Macaca mulatta: one gene and its partner. Each later gene encodes a partner of the first gene's protein in a complex. Links are inferred from orthologs where the notes say so. Each region holds a gene or a part of one and is shown on either strand. Other genes may lie near its edges.

The links. Proteins that work in one complex are often made in the same cells at the same time.
Region 2: VPS72 (region 1) and MORF4L2 share a complex: the UniProt entries of both Homo sapiens proteins name them as parts of the nuA4 histone acetyltransferase complex. The link is inferred for Macaca mulatta from reciprocal best matches to the Homo sapiens genes VPS72 and MORF4L2.

Annotation. Positions count from the first base shown.
Region 1 is NC_133406.1:115,895,680-115,904,088, forward strand, and holds the start of VPS72 (vacuolar protein sorting-associated protein 72 homolog), read left to right. Parts: upstream 1-3,623; 5' UTR 3,624-3,659; coding exon 3,660-3,776; intron 3,777-5,112; exon of another isoform or gene 5,113-5,452; intron 5,453-7,155; exon of another isoform or gene 7,156-7,566; intron 7,567-8,105; coding exon 8,106-8,258; intron 8,259-8,409. UniProt on the Homo sapiens protein: Deposition-and-exchange histone chaperone specific for H2AZ1, specifically chaperones H2AZ1 and deposits it into nucleosomes.
Region 2 is NC_133426.1:110,305,545-110,313,240, reverse strand, and holds the end of MORF4L2 (mortality factor 4-like protein 2), read left to right. Parts: intron 1-1,361; exon of another isoform or gene 1,362-1,514; intron 1,515-2,983; 5' UTR 2,984-3,007; coding exon 3,008-3,874; 3' UTR 3,875-4,533; downstream 4,534-7,696. UniProt on the Homo sapiens protein: Component of the NuA4 histone acetyltransferase complex which is involved in transcriptional activation of select genes principally by acetylation of nucleosomal histone H4 and H2A.

The DNA of each region.
Region 1 (8,409 bases):
TCAAATTCAGGTCTGGCTGACTCTAAAGCTGTGTTCTCTTTTTGTTGTTGTTTTATTTTATTTTAATTTTTAATTGACACATAATTGTACATATTTATGGGGTACATAGTGATGTTTCAATACATAAAATATATAGTGATCAGATCAGGATAATTAGCATATCTGTCATCTAAAAAATGTATCATTTATTTATTTATTTATTTATTTATTTATTTATTTTGAGATGGTGTCTCGCTTTGTCGTCCAAGCTGGAGTGCAGTGGCACAATGTCAGCGCACTACAACCTCCACCTCCTGGTTTCAAGCGATTCTTACGCCTCAGCCTCCGAAGTAGCTGGGACTACAGGCACCTGCCACCACTCCTGGCCAGTTTTTGTACTTTTTAGTAGAGACAAGGTTTCACCATGTCAGTCACGCTTGTCTTGAACTACCCACCTGGAATAATTTGCCCACCTTAGCCTCCCAAAGTGCTGAGATTACAGGCGTGAGCCCTAGTGCCTGGCCTCACAAATGTATCATTTATTTGTTTCCAACACAAACATTTAATATCCTTCTTCTAGCTGTTTGACACTATATATTATTGTTAATTATAGTCATCCCCCAGTGGTATGGAACACTAGAATTTTTTTTTTTTTTTTTTTTTTGAGATGGAGTCTCACTCTTGTTGCCCAGGCTGGAGTGCAATGGCGCGATCTTGGCTCACTGCAACCTCTGCCTCTGGGGTTCAAGTGATTCTCCTGCCTTTGCCTCCTGAGTAGATGGGCTTACAGGCACCCACCAACACGCCTGGCTAAGTTTTGTATTTTTAGTAGAGATGGGGTTTTGCCATGTTGGCCAGGCTAGTCTCAAACTCCTAATCTCAGGTGATCTGCCCACTTCAGCCTCCCAAAGTGTTGGGATTACAGGCATGAGCCACCGCACCCGGCCAAGAACACTAGAAATTATTCCTCCTGTCTAAATGTAATTTGGAGCTAAGCGAGGTGGCTCAGGCCTGTAATTCCAGCACATTGACAGGCTGAGGAGTGGGGATCACTTGAGTCCAGGTGACCACTGTGGGCAACATAAAGAAATCTCATCTTCACAAAAAGTACAAAAAATTAGCCGGGTGTGGTGATGTGAGCCTGTAGTTCCAGTTACCTGGGAGGCTGAGGTGGGATGATCGCTTGAACCCAGGAGGTCGAGACCACAGTGAGCAGTGATTGCATCACTGCACTCCAGACTGGGCGACAGAGTGAGATCCTATCTCAAACAAACAAATGAACAAATGAACAAACAAATGTAATTTGGGGCCGGTGTGGTGGCTCACGGCTTTAATCAGCTCACTTTGTAAACCTCTCACTTTGGGAGGCCAAGGTGGGAGGACAGCTTGAGCCCAGGAGGTCAAGGAGCCAGCGAGCCATGATCCTGCTGCTACACTCCAGCCTGGGCAACAGAGACCCCGTCTCAAAAAAAAATGGTAATTTTGTGTCTTTTTTTTTTTTTTTCTTTTCAGATGGCGTCTTGCTCTGTTGCCAGGCTGGGGCGTAGTGGCACGATCTCAGCTCACTGCAACCTCTGCCTCCCGGGTTCAAGCGATTCTCCTGCCTCAGCTTCCCGAGTAGCTGGGACTGCAGGTGTGTGCCACCACACCCAGTTAATTTTTGTATTTGTAGTAGAGACGGGGTTTCACCATGTTGGCCAGGATGGTCATAATCTCTTGACCCCGTGATCTGCCTGCCTCAGCCTCCCGAAGTGCTGGAATTACTAGGCGTGAGCCACTGTGCCCGGCCCAATTTTGTCTTTTTTTTTTTTTTTTGAGACGGAGTCTCCCTCTGTTTCCCAGGCTGGAGTGCAAATGGCGTGCGATCTTGGCTCACTGCAACCTCCGACTCCCGAGATCAAGCAATTCTCTGCCTCAGCCTCCCGAGTAGCTGGGATTACAGGTGCCCACCACTATGACCAGCTAATTTTTGTATTTTTAGTGGAGATGGGGTTTCACCATCTTGGCCAGGCTGGTCGTGAACTCCTGACCTCATGATCCACACCCTCGGCTTCCCAAAGTGCTGGGATTACAGGTGTGAGCCACAATTTTGTGTCTTTTAACAAATCTGGCCGGGCGCGGTGGCTCAAGCCTGTAATCCCAGCACTTTGGGAGGCCGAGAGGGGCGGATCACGAGGTCAGAAGATCGAGACCATCCTGGCTAACACGGTGAAACCCGTCTCTACTAAAAAATACAAAAAACTAGCGGGGCGAGGTGGCGGGCGCCTGTAGTCCCAGCTACTCGGGAGGCTGAGGCAGGAGAACGGCGTAAACCTAGGCGGCGGAGCTTGCAGTGAGCTGAGATCCGGCCATTGCACTCCAGCCTGGGCGACAGAGCGAGACTCCGTCTCAAAAAAACAACAACAACAACAAAAAAAACAAATCTTTCCCTGTCCCTTCCTTCCCCCTGCACTTCCCAGCCCCCAGTATCATCTGTTCTATTTTTTATTTCTATGAAATCAATTTTTTTAAAGCGTCCACATATGAGTGAGAACACGCAGTGTTTAAATTTCTGTTCGTGGCTTAAGTCAGTTAACGTGTCCTCCAATTCCGTCCATGTTGCTGCAAATGACAGGATTTTGTTCCTTTTAATGGCTAAATAGTATTCATTTGTGTATATACACCTCATTTCCTTTATTCATCTGTTGTTGGACACCTAGATTGATTTCCTATTTTGGTTACTATAAGCAGTGCTGCATTAAATATGGGGGTGCATAAATATGGAGTGCGGACGTCTCTTGGAAATACTGATTTCCTTTTTTTTTTTTTTTTTCCTAAATCAGCTTCCTTATGTTGAATTATGTCCTTTCCTTCGGATAAATGTCTATGGCTGTGTTTTTAACCACAATATTATGCTTTCTTTCTCAAGGATTTTGGACTTTATCTTGTAGATGATGTGGAGCCATTAAAAAATGTTGAGGAGAGGACTGGCAAAATCTGGGTTTTTAGAAAATTTGAAAGTTTCCTACTGGCAGCAGTGTGGAAAACGGACTGGACCGGGGAGAATGACCTCTTCTAAAAGAAAATGTGAGCCTGGCGCGGTGGCTCACGCCTGTAATCCCAGCACTTTGGGAGGCCGAAGCGCGCGGATCACCTGAGGTTAGGAGTTTGAGACCAGCCTGGCCAACATGGTGAAAGCCGTTTCTATTAAAAATACAAAAATTAGCTGGGCATGGTGGCGGGCGCCTGTAATCCCAGCTACTCGGGGAGAATTGCTTCAGCCCGGGAGAGGGAGGTTGCAGTGAGCCGAGATCGTGCCACTGCACTCCAGTCTGGCGACAGAGCGACCCTACGAAAAAAATACATATATGTGTGTGTGTGTGTATATATATATATTAAAAACAAAAATAAATAAAAGAAAATGTGTTGACTTAGGTTTATGCGGGTCGTCGTGCCACCAAGTGGACTCATTGAGCACTAGGGCAAGCGGCCTAGAGGTTCCGCGCAGGAGTAGGAGAGGCTGAAGAGTAAAGAGGGTTTAGAAGGTGGGAGTAGGAGTCTCTCGACACTCTGTTACTTCTGCCTGTAAACGCCCGACTTCCGCCGCTGGTGTCCACCCGCAGGTAGCGGTGTCGAGCGTCGAGCTCCCAGAAGCGAGCTGGTGAGGGGCTGCAGGTGGCGGAGCAGTCTCCTTAGGCGGTATGAGTTTGGCTGGGGGCCGGGCACCCCGGAAGACCGCTGGGAACCGGCTTTCCGGGCTTCTGGAGGCAGAGGAGGAAGATGAGTTCTACCAGACGACTTATGGAGGTTTCACAGAGGCAAGATCCGAGCCTGGGAAAAGGGAGGGGAGGAAGCGAAGAGGAGCCCTGGAGGGAGGATCTCCGGACAAAGAAGAAGAAGGCGGGGAATAGAGCGGAGCTCTGGGAGCTGATACCCTAGATGGGTGCGGTGAATCGGAGCCGGGGGGCGGGGCGGGGCGGGGGGACGGATAGTGTGGAGTCCTACAAGGGAGACCTCTGGATGGGGTCAAAGGGGCATGAGACGGAGAAGCTTTGCGGAGGCACTCCAGAGAACGGCAGAAACCTACCGCATACTTGCGTAGTTCCATCTCTCACTGTACTTCTGACCTCCAGCATACGTCAGGCACACAGATAGTAGTAGTCAGTCGCTGGATGTATACTTGTTGGCCCACTGCCGGATTATTCACCTGAGACATGGAAAGGAACTGCTCCAAAGGTAGAGATTAGCCCACTCCTTTTTCAGCTTTCAAGTCTCAATGTATATGTTTTCTCAGGAAGATAATCCTTCCTTGACTATCCTAACAAGTGTCCCCATTTATTTCTCCCACAGAACATATTTCAGTTTGTAATTAGATTCGGTTTGCTTACTTGCTTATGTTTTCCTATTGCATTGTAAACTGTATAAAGTTAGGGATGGTCTGTTTTGTTCAACATTATGTGTGAGGTGTCCGGACTGGGCTGCCACTTGCTAAATTTTTTTAGTTGAATCTACCCGTTTCTTAAATGTGTTGAATACCCAGTGCATGCCATCGGTGATAGGTTGTATTGGGCTCTAGGGAAACCGAGAATATTAAAAACAGTGCTCTGTCCTTACATACTCCATGCCCCAGTGGGGTAACTGGTTGGGTTAACAGTTAAAATACTGTGTGATAGGAAGGGCACAGTGGCTCACGCATGTAATCCCAGCACTTTGGAAGGCCAAGGCAGGTAGATCACAAGGTCAGGAGATCAAGACCATCCTGGCCAACATGGTAAAACCCCAGTCTCTACTAAAAATACAAAAATTAGCCAGGCGTGGTGGCGTGCGCCTATAGTCCCAGCTACTCAGGAGGCTGAGGCAGAGAATCGCTTGAACCTGGGAGGAGGAGGTTGCAGTGAGCCGAAATCATACCACTGCACTCCAGCCTGGGCGACAGAGCAGGACTCTGTCTCAAAAACAAACAAAATGTGTGATAAGGACTAAAACAAGGTGTAAGATATAAGATAGAGTGTTAAGGTAATACATCTGAACCAAAGCTGTTGATCAGGATAGGCATCCCTGGAGGGATGATGTTTAAGCTGAGGACAGTTTGAAAAGTAGACCTTAGCTTGATGAAAAGTGGGAGAAGGAGAAAGGTAGTCCACAGAGCAGATCGGGGAGAGTATGTAAAGACGTTGAGATCCTGGTCTAGGACCTGCAAGTCTACTTTCATTCTCCAGAGCATGAAGGAGACTAAAGATTGATAAGCCTGGAGGGAGTAGGCATGGGCCAGATCATTAGGGCCTTGTGAGCCATGTTAAGGAGTTTTGCTGTTCATCCAGAGGACTGAGAAGAGTCATCCGAGTTCCACGATAAAATTTGTACTTTAGAAAGATTACTTACTCTGTAATGAGAATGGCTTGAAGGCGGCATGGCAGTAGAGAAACAGAAAGATTGAAGATAAATTAAGGAATAGAACCCACAGGATTTAGGGGCTGAGTGTGGTGGCTCACGCCTGTAATCCCAGCACTTTGGGAGGCTGAGGCGGGTGGATCACAAGGTCAGGAGTTCGAGACCAGCCTGACCAACATGGTGCAACCCTGTCCCTACTAAACATACAAAAAATTAGCTGGGCGTGGTGGCACGCGCCTGTAATCCCAGCTACTAGCTTGAACCTGGGAGGCGGAGGTTTCAGTGGATCACTCCACTGCACTCCAGCCTGGGCGACAGTGAGACTCCGTTTAAAAACAAAAACAAAAACAAAAAACCCCACATCACTGAGTCATTACTGACACAGCCCTGACCAACTAGTTTAAAATAGAACTTTCTCATCCCTCCTCTAAGGCCATTTTCCTATTTCTGTCATTTTACGACTCGTTATTTAATATGTACCCTTCATGCTTCCAACAAGGATTTAAGGAGGCTTACAATATAAACAAAAAGTAGAAACGGTAAAAATAGAGACAGATCAGAAGTAATTGTACCAGGAACCTCTGCTAAAATGGTAATAGCAATTGATATTAAATTTAGCTGTGAGCTTCCTGGTAGCCAAACCTTGTATTTCTTTTTTTAGTAAGAAAGAAGCATACAAGTTGTTCAAGAGAGACAAACTTATTCAGTCTTAAATCCTAGGGAGCATTTATCATTATATCCTTATATTATAAAAAGTAACGGTTTTCGTAGATGATATACAAACATTCTCTTATCTAGTGATGTGTATTAATGACTCAATAAAAGGCAAAGGAATGGTAGTAATTTAGTGCAAGTATTTTGATTGGGCACTAAGCTAATGTGTGGTTGATCTACTACCCTCCGGTGATATGGCTTAATACCAGATTAAGGCTGAGGGGATTAATGTGTTCCCAGGCTGTCTTTTACAGGCATCAATTGGGAGGAAATGATGGTCATCAGTGCAAAATTGAACTCTGGCTGGTTTGGAGGGTCAACCATCTGTGTTATTTGCTTGCTTTGGCATCATGTGTACCAAGATTAGCCCTTTAGTCTGCATCACTGATTGAAGAGAGAGCCACATGTGTGAGGTGTCACCCAGCCCAGTTGACTCCCTCTCCCTCAACTGACTTTTTTCCCTTTTCTTTCTAATATGGCTGCCATTCTAGCCCTAAACAGTATCACCTCAGGTCTAGGCTGTACTTCACATTCTCTACTCAGGCCATCTAACTGCCTCCAGAGCTCTCTGAAATACCCCTTGTACATACTGTTACCCCTCCCCTATATCTTCGGTGGCTCTCCGTTATCCATAGTAGCAGTACTCAGCTGTTTTTCTGTCCCAACACATCTGAGGAATGACACATATTTCTCTCAGTAACTTTAGTTTACATAAACAATGATTATCAATGGTCGGACAAATAAGGAGATGGAGGGGATTGAGAATTATTGGCCTGCAGGTTAAAATTGTGTTTATTAGTGTGACATTTAAGTTTCTCCATAAATGGAATGCAGGAATGCAAACTTCTTTTCTTTTTTTTTTTTTTGAGACGGAGTCTCGCTCTGCTGCCCAGGCTGGAGTGCAGTGGCGCGATATCAGCTCACTGCAAGCTCCACCTCCCGGGTTCACGCCATTCTCCTGCCTCAGCCTCCTGAGTAGCTGGGACTACAGGCATCTGCCACCACGCTTGGCTATTTTTTTCTATTTTTAGTAGAGATGGGGTTTCACCGTGTTAGCCAGGATGGTCTCGATCTCCTGACCTCATGATCCACCCGCCTCGGCCTCCCAAAGTGCAGGGATTACAGGCATGAGCCACTGCGCCCAGCCGCAACCTTCTTTTCAAATCATATAGTCCTACAGTGCAATCAGTGTTGGAAGGAGGCAGTGCTGGAGCGAAACACAGTTGGCTAACAAGGTTTCTTGATAGAGAAAAGTTTTACTTAGATCTAAATCTTTATTCCATAAACATGCTGTACACATTACCATTTCTGCGCCTTTGTTTCTGCTATTTCATCGCCCATGATTCCTTCTTCCCTCTTGACTGTCTAAATACTAACAGTGTTTTCAACCATAGTTTAACTCCTCTTCATGCCTTTTTTTTTTTTTTGAGATAGTGTCTCGCCCTGTCGCCCAGGCTGGAGTGCAGTGGCACTATCTCAGCTCACTGCAACCTATGCCTCCTGGGTTCAGGTGATTCTCCTGCCTCAGCCTCCCAAGTAGCTGGGACTACAGGTGTGCATCACCATGCCCAGCTAATTTTTGTATTTTTAGTAGAGCCAGGGTTTCACCATGTTGGCCAGGCTGATCTCGAACTCTTGGCCTCAAGTGATCTGCCCACCTCAGCCACCCAAAATGCTGGGATTACAGGCATGAGCCACCGTGCCTGGCCAAGACCCACATCTCAAAAAAAAAAAAAAAAAGTAAGATTATGTTATCCCCTTTACTGTAAGCCCCTGAAAGTAGAGACCAAACCATATCCTTTTGTTTCCCAGTACTTAACACAGTGTGTTGCAGGTAAAGCGCTATCAATTAATGTTGGAAGGAGGTGGTACTGGAGCCAAAGGCCATTAGCTAGAAAGTTTTCTTGCTTGAAGAAAATGAAGGACTGGATTAGGAAGGAGAGTAGGGCAACCCTTATCAAGAAAGTTGAGAGATTCTGTTCTTCCTGAAGGGTCATTAAGGCTTCCATTGCCAGCCAACCCTCATCTCCCTGTGTCCTTAGGAATCCGGAGATGATGAGTATCAAGGGGACCAGTCAGATACAGAGGACGAAGTGGACTCTGACTTTGATATTGATGAAGGGGATGAACCATCCAGCGATGGAGAAGCAGAAGAGCCAAGAAGGAAGCGCCGAGTAGTCACCAAGGCCTATAAGGTACAGGAGGAGTCCTAGTTTTCTTGGATTTCCTCAATTCCTATTCCCTCTTTCATCAGGTCCCAGTACTCCCTTTGCCACTTCCATTTCTGGCAATGCTAGTTTTCTCTCATTGAGATCCTCATATTTCTCCTTACTTCTTCTGTTCCCT
Region 2 (7,696 bases), on another chromosome or scaffold:
ACCACTATGGCTGGCTAATTTTTATATTTTTAGTAGGGACGGGGTTTCACCATGTTGGCCAGGCTGGTCTTGAACTTCTGACCTCAAGAGATCCACCCACCTCAGCCACCCAAAATGCTGGGATTACAGGCTTGAGCCACCGTGCCCGGCCTTCTTTTCTTTTCGCCCACAGGTGCTACTACCAAACATTTCTTATCTCTGATTTTCTTCTCAGAGCCTCCCTGATGCCTGCCTACACAGTGTTAACGGCTACAGAATGGCTGATGGGCTTTTTCTTTAGGTGAAAGTTGTAGTTACTAGAGAAACCTGGTTTAAGGCTGGTCTACCATCATCCCTTTCTCAGAAGTTACCCTGATTTTAACAGGCTGGTATTTATCTGTCTAGATATTTCCATGCACATTTATAGACATCTGTTTAAAACACACACACAAATGAGAGCACACTCTTCCCAAAAACTATTTCACACTAATGTTTATTTCTGTACCTGTACTATCTTTTTTTTCTTTTTTTGGAGATGGAGTCTCTGTCGCCCAGACTAGAGTGCAGTGGTGCGATCTCAGCTCGCTGCAACCTCCGCCTCTCGGGTTCAAGCAATTCTCCTGCCTCAGTCTCCTAAGTAGCTGAGACTATAGGCGTGCGCCACCATGCCCGGCTACTTTTTTTGTTTTTTGTATTTTTAGTAGAGACGGGGTTTCACTACATTGCCCAGGCTGGTCTCAAACTTCTGACCTCATGATCTGCTTGCCTCGGCCTCCCAAAGTGCTGGGATCACAGGTGTGAGCCACCGCGCCCGGCCTTATCTGTCTCTTTACGATCGTATTGCATTTGGGATCCTATAGTATTACGCCATCTGCCTGTTTACCTAATATATATTGAACATCTTTCCATGTCAGTACATGGATCTCTGCTTAATTCATTTGAATGTTCTTCTGTAGTAGTCATACATAATTTATGTTATCATTTTCCTATTGAAGAATAGGTAGGTGTTTTCCAGTTCTTCAGTACTGCAAACACCACTACATTGAACATCTTTGTATCCATGTACAAATACTCTGGCAAGGTACTGTGCTAGCTGTTCAGCCTCATCACCTTTATGAAATTCTCACAGGAGCCTGTGAAGGCTATGGGTAATTTGCCACATTCCACAGATGAGAAAAAGAGGCTAAGAGAGCTTACATGTCTTGCCTGAGGTCTCACAACTCATCAGTGATGGAGCCTAACTGAAGTAAAGGTCTGTCTGACAGCAGAACTCAAGTATTTTCTCTCATACCACGATTTACAATTGCAGTATATGATTGATATATGTGTTTAAACATATAAACCACATGTTTATAAATTACTCATTTTTTTCTTTTCCTTAGATGATTTCACAAAAGTTCATCTTCATTGCAGATACCTGCCTTTCTTTCTAGGTTGTATCTCCCACTTCACCCTTCTAGACCATCCCAGAAGATCTATAAGATTTCATCTGGGAAATCACTAGGAGTTCTTGGAAGGGAAAGAAGGAAGATTGTGTAAGTCAAAGGAATTGTTTCCTCTGTCACACCGTAAGAATAATGGAAGACTATTTTTGCATCCTTTTCTCACTAGCACTCCCTGCTGCACTTTACACTGTAGATTATACCTGTTTCTTCTTGGAACGCTCATCTTCTTTGGCATCCAAAATGACATTCTTCTAATTCTGTTATGGCTACTCTTAAAATTTTTGTTTCATTTGTGGTCTCTATGCATCCCTTAAATGCCTTTCGTCCTTACGTTTTCCAGAATTCCATACTTGAAGTTCTTCCTCTCTTCTCCCTGATTTCATTGGCCCTCGTAGTGTCTACTACCAGCTATGTGATGTTTACTCTCAGATCTCCATTTCTGGCTTTTACTTCGCACCCGAGCTTTAATTTTGTGTGTGTGTGTGTGTGTGTGTGTGTGTGTGTGTGTGTGTGTGTGTTGGGGGAGGTACCCAGTTAGCTGGACGAAACTGAGCTTTATAATTTTATGTTTAACTGTACACCTCACACGCAATAGGCCCAACACAACTTTTCCTTCAATCCATTTTCTCCTCCTGTAAATGGAGTATTATCATTTGGTGATAATACTAATGACCTAATCACCCATACCTGGGAGTCATCACTGACTCCTCCCTCACCAATCTTTTTTTTAGCTTCTTCAACAATCACTGACGGTGGTGTCATGTACCATTTCTTGTATCTGCTCCCAAGCCATTTTGTGCCTATAACTATCATTATACTAACCTTATTGTTTTATAATTGTCACTTTAGATATTTGGATCTCTAGCACCTACCATAGTACCTGTCCCAAAGCAGATATGCAGTAATGTATAATGACAAACTGAATAGATTAATGAATGGATGAATTACCTATGTTCTGTCATTTTATTTCTGATTCCAAACTAAACCCTAAATTCAGCGCTTTTATTAAATTCTTTAATTACCCAGGTTTGAAATTGCAGATTCCTCCCTCCTTTGTTTACTATATTCTTAATGATTTCTGTATTCTTCAGTTTCTCTTGCCTCTGTCATCATCCTAGTTCAGACCTTTCTGGACTTACACAAGAACCTTTACTGTTATTCATTTTGCCCTTAGTCAACTAAGTATAACCTTCCCTATTCCATATTGTCATTTCTCCTGTTCAGAAGTCTTAAATTTCAACTCCACTGCCTTTTATAGTTTCTTTTTCATTTAATTCCTTCTTTCTTTAAAATTGCTTTCCTATCTTGTGAGTGGCATCAACAGAGTAATTTGTGGGTAGATGTGATGAGTATTTGGGTGAGATGAGAGTAGTGGCTGGTAGTGAGGATCAGAGAGAGGGAAAGGAGGTAAAAAAAAAAAATCACTTATAAAGAGTCCTGAAATGGGATTTGAAATCCAGATTTTAAGGGAGTTAGAATGTGTTATGCTCTGATGGGCCTTTATGAAACATAAAGGTTGCCATAGAAAACAACCAAGTAAAATATTTTATATATTACAGTGGTTGGAATAAAAACAGGGTTGAATGAGTTCCAGAAAGCAGGGTTCTCAACCTCGTGGACAGCAATCTGCAGAAGAAGAGAACTTCAAAAAACCAACTAGAAGCAACATGCAGAGAAGTAAGATGAGAGGGGCCTCCTCGGGAAAGAAGACAGCTGGTCCACAGCAGAAAAATCTTGAACCAGCTCTCCCAGGAAGATGGGGGGGTCGCTCTGCAGAGAATCCCCCTTCAGGATCCGTGAGGAAGACCAGAAAGAACAAACAGAAGACTCCTGGAAACGGAGATGGTGGCAGTACCAGCGAAGCACCTCAGCCCCCTCGGAAGAAAAGGGCCCGGGCAGACCCCACTGTTGAAAGTGAGGAGGCGTTTAAGAATAGAATGGAGGTTAAAGTGAAGATTCCTGAAGAATTAAAACCATGGCTTGTTGAGGACTGGGACTTAGTTACCAGGCAGAAGCAGCTGTTTCAACTCCCTGCTAAGAAAAATGTAGATGCAATTCTGGAGGAGTATGCAAATTGCAAGAAGTCGCAGGGAAATGTTGATAATAAGGAATATGCAGTTAATGAAGTTGTGGCAGGAATAAAAGAATATTTCAATGTGATGTTGGGCACTCAGCTGCTCTACAAATTTGAGAGGCCCCAGTATGCTGAAATCCTCTTGGCTCACCCTGATGCTCCAATGTCTCAGGTTTATGGAGCACCACACCTACTGAGATTATTTGTAAGAATTGGAGCAATGTTGGCCTATACGCCCCTTGATGAGAAAAGCCTTGCATTATTGTTGGGCTATTTGCATGATTTCCTAAAATATCTGGCAAAGAATTCTGCATCTCTCTTTACTGCCAGTGATTACAAAGTGGCTTCTGCTGAGTACCACCGCAAAGCCCTGTGAGCGTCTACAGACAGCTCACCATTTTTGTCCTGTATCTGTAAACACTTTTTGTTCTTAGTCTTTTTCTTGTAAAATTGATGTTCTTTAAAATCGTTAATGTATAACAGGGCTTATGTTTCAGTTTGTTTTCTGTTCTGTTTTAAACAGAAAATAAAAGGAGTGTAAGCTCCTTTTCTCATTTCAAAGTTGCTACCAGTGTATGCAGTAATTAGAACAAAGAAGAAACAGTAGAACATTTTATTGCCTAGTTGACAACATTGCTTGAATGCTGGTGGTTCCTATCCCTTTGACACTACACAATTTTCTAATATGTGTTAATGCTACGTGACAAAACGCCCTGATTCCTAGTGCCAAAGGTTCAACTTAATGTATATACCTGAAAACCCATGCATTTGTGCTCTTTTTTTTTTTTTATGGTGCTTGAAGTAAAACAGCCCATCCTCTGCAAGTCCATCTATGTTGTTCTTAAGCATTCTATCTTTGCTCAAATTGTTGAAGGATGGTGATTTGTTTCATGGTTTTTGTATTTGAGTCTAATGCACGTTCTAACATGATAGAGGCAATGCATTATTGTGTAGCCACGGTTTTCTGGAAAAGTTGATATTTTAGGAATTGTATTTCAGATCTTAAATAAAATTTGTTTCTAAATTTCAAAGCAAGTAATTTGCAGTGTGCCTTTCATGTTACTGAGGCTGGTATTCTGTGGTTATTGTAGAAATTTTAGAAAACATAGTAACAAATGCAAATAAGAATTGTGTAATTCTGCTGGATCATTCAAGATCCAAGCAATAAATAAATGGAACTCAAAAATGGATGATTTGACGAGAGTTAAAGAATTTTTTCCCTGAGTTGTCACCAGAGGGGTAGGGTTGTGGTGTATATTAGCTGGCTCAGGCTGCCATAACAAAGTACCAGAGACTGAGTGGCTTAAACAATAAATTTATTTTCTCACAGTTCTGGATGTTGGAAGTCAGATCAAGGTGTTGCCAGAGGATTTTTTTTGAGGCCTCTCTCTTTGGCTTCTACACAGCTGTCCTCCCTGTCATCACATGGCCTTTTTCTCTGTATCTGTGTCCTAATCTCTTCTAAGGACACTAGTCACTGGATTAGGACCCACCCCAATGACCTCATTTAATTTAGCTATCTCTGTAAAGACCCTATTTCCAACTACAGTCACATGCTGAGGTATTGGGGATTAGGACTTCAACATGAATTTGGTGGGTGTGGGGAGGGGTGGGTGCACAATTCAGGGCATAACACAGTGTTACTACCCCTCTGCAAAGGAGACGAGAGGAAAGGAAGTGGGGAGGAGCAGAGGGAGTGGGAGGTAAGGGAGGGGTTACTGGAATGGTATACAGCTGTGTGGAAAGGTCCATCTGACAGTAGCTGTAATCTTCAGGATGCAGTCAGCTCACAGCAACCCTGAAAGAGAAAATGAAATGAGAGGGAATAAATGCTTGACTTCGCGCTCTTCCGAACATCTGCTAGGTATTTCTCTTGGCCAAATTGGAAGCTGGAGGGCAAGGAAGACCTTTTGTATAGTCTGTGTTGGTAAGTGTGGGGGACACAGAGCAGGAAGGAAAGTAGATGGTGGGGAGGGGGCCGGAGGAGGGTGGTTGTGGGTGGTGAGTGGGAGGAGGACAAACGGGAGATACAAGCACACACCTGAAATAGTTAATACTTTACCATATATTCTTGGAATTATGTGTATACATAAATATTTGTAATAAAGATCACACAACTTTTTTTTTTTTTAACAAATTTGGATCAGATTATATGTATGGTTTTCTAAGTATTTTTCTCCCCAAATTGATATACAAAGGAAATTCAAGGCTAATAAAACTAGTTTATTTTTAAATGACCTAAAACATGAAAATGGAAAAATTCTGAGATTGGAAATTAAGGAGAAGTTGCCACATAGAAAAATTTGTTATAAAATGGTACCCTAAAAGTGTATTTTGGACACCAAAACAAATCAGGGTAACAGAATGGAAATATCTGTATCTGTGTATATGTGTTTAATTTGTTAGATATGTTAGAGGGAATATTTGAATTAGTGAAAGGATGGGATAGTCAAAATATTTGAGGGGAATGTTAGATCTTTTGCTTTACACTTTATTCCAAAGTACATTCCAAATGAATTAAAGATTTACATTTGATAAGTGAAACCATAGATTGTTTGTTTAAAATGAAGGATATTTTATCATGGCTCAGATGACCTTTCTAAATATTATTGACAGGATACCTACAGGAAAAGGTGGATAGATTTTCATACATAAATACTTTAAATAACTTTATTATAAAACAACATGAGAGGAATTATTAGGCATGCAACACAGAACAGAATAATCACAACACATAAATACAAATTGTTAATATCTTTAAAATTTAAAGGATTTTTTTACAAGTTATAAGAGACAAGGGAGATAGGCCATAGATGCACATAAGCTAATTTTGAAAAGAAATGCAAATTGCAAGTAAACAGGTTCATTTTCCCGAGACATAAATACTTAAAATAATGAAGTATTTTCTACCACTGTTGTCATCCCCCTTGCAATAGGTGCTAGTAAGTTATTGAACATACTTTTAGGTGTCTAGTCAATATATTGTCAGAGTAGTAGAAACCAGGCTAGGTTGTAGGCTGGCTACATTGTGACCATCACACCATCAAGTGATGACTAGACCCATCAGGTGTCAATTATTCTTCCCCAAATTCTGGACTGTTTTGGTTATGGTGTAGACAGAGAGGGGGAGTGGCAGGAGAAAGGATCAATGTAAAGAAGAAAGGAGGTTTGATAATTATATGCAGCCCATTGATTACTGAACCTAATTATCACATTTCTCTAACACTGGTACACAGCACATAGAAGTTGCTCATTAAATGTGCATTCAATGACGACTACGTCTTAGACCTTGCATCTTAGTGAATACTTCATTTAAATAGGCAAATCCCTGGCGTCAGATGGCTGAAATGATTCAAATTTTGCATTAGTGAATGATAGGTGACCAGATGGGCAGGCTTGGGGCCTCTCATCCTCATGTCCTCTGTGGAATCTAGGACCTAGCCAACTAACTGAGTTCTTGACCCCTATCCCATTAAGAAGACAGTTGTAACATAGCCCACGATATTCATGAAAACATTCCAAAAGAAAATAAGGATTTGTTAAGGTAAGTTTGAATAGGAGGCCTACCAAACAGATATGGATCTTAGTTCACACCCTTCAGCATATAAGAAATGTCACATTTTCAAAGCACCTTTAAATGAATATAAATATGACTCTGATATCCAATCCTAGCATGCTAGTGGGAAATCCACATCAGTTATTACTGGGGATTCCTCATCTCCATTAGTTGTACAGGCATTCTATGGTCTTATCTAGCACCAAAGCCTGAGGAGATCCCTGCTGTCTTCAGCTGTCTGTCCACACTGATTAGGGATGAGGTGCTCATTTACTGAACTGGCATGGTATCTTCAGATCCCTTGTCCCTGCTGCTTCTATCCAACCCTCTGGGTAGTGGAATGTTTGCCAAGACCAGGTGACCAGCTTCCCCCGGCCCATCACAGAGTCTTCTTTGGGTCCTGATACAGAGAAATGCTCATGTCTCTGCTACTGAAAGGAAGTATAGACCCTGACCTCTATTCTCTTGCTGCCCTAAAATGCCCTCTATTCCCATCCAGGGACATCTGGCTTGACTTCATCAATGAATATAATCCTTTTCAGAATATATGGGCTGGGCACAGTAGCTCACGCCTGTAATCCCAGCACTTTGGGAAGTCGCAGGAGGATTGCTTGAGGCTAGGAGTTCAAGACAAGCCTGAGC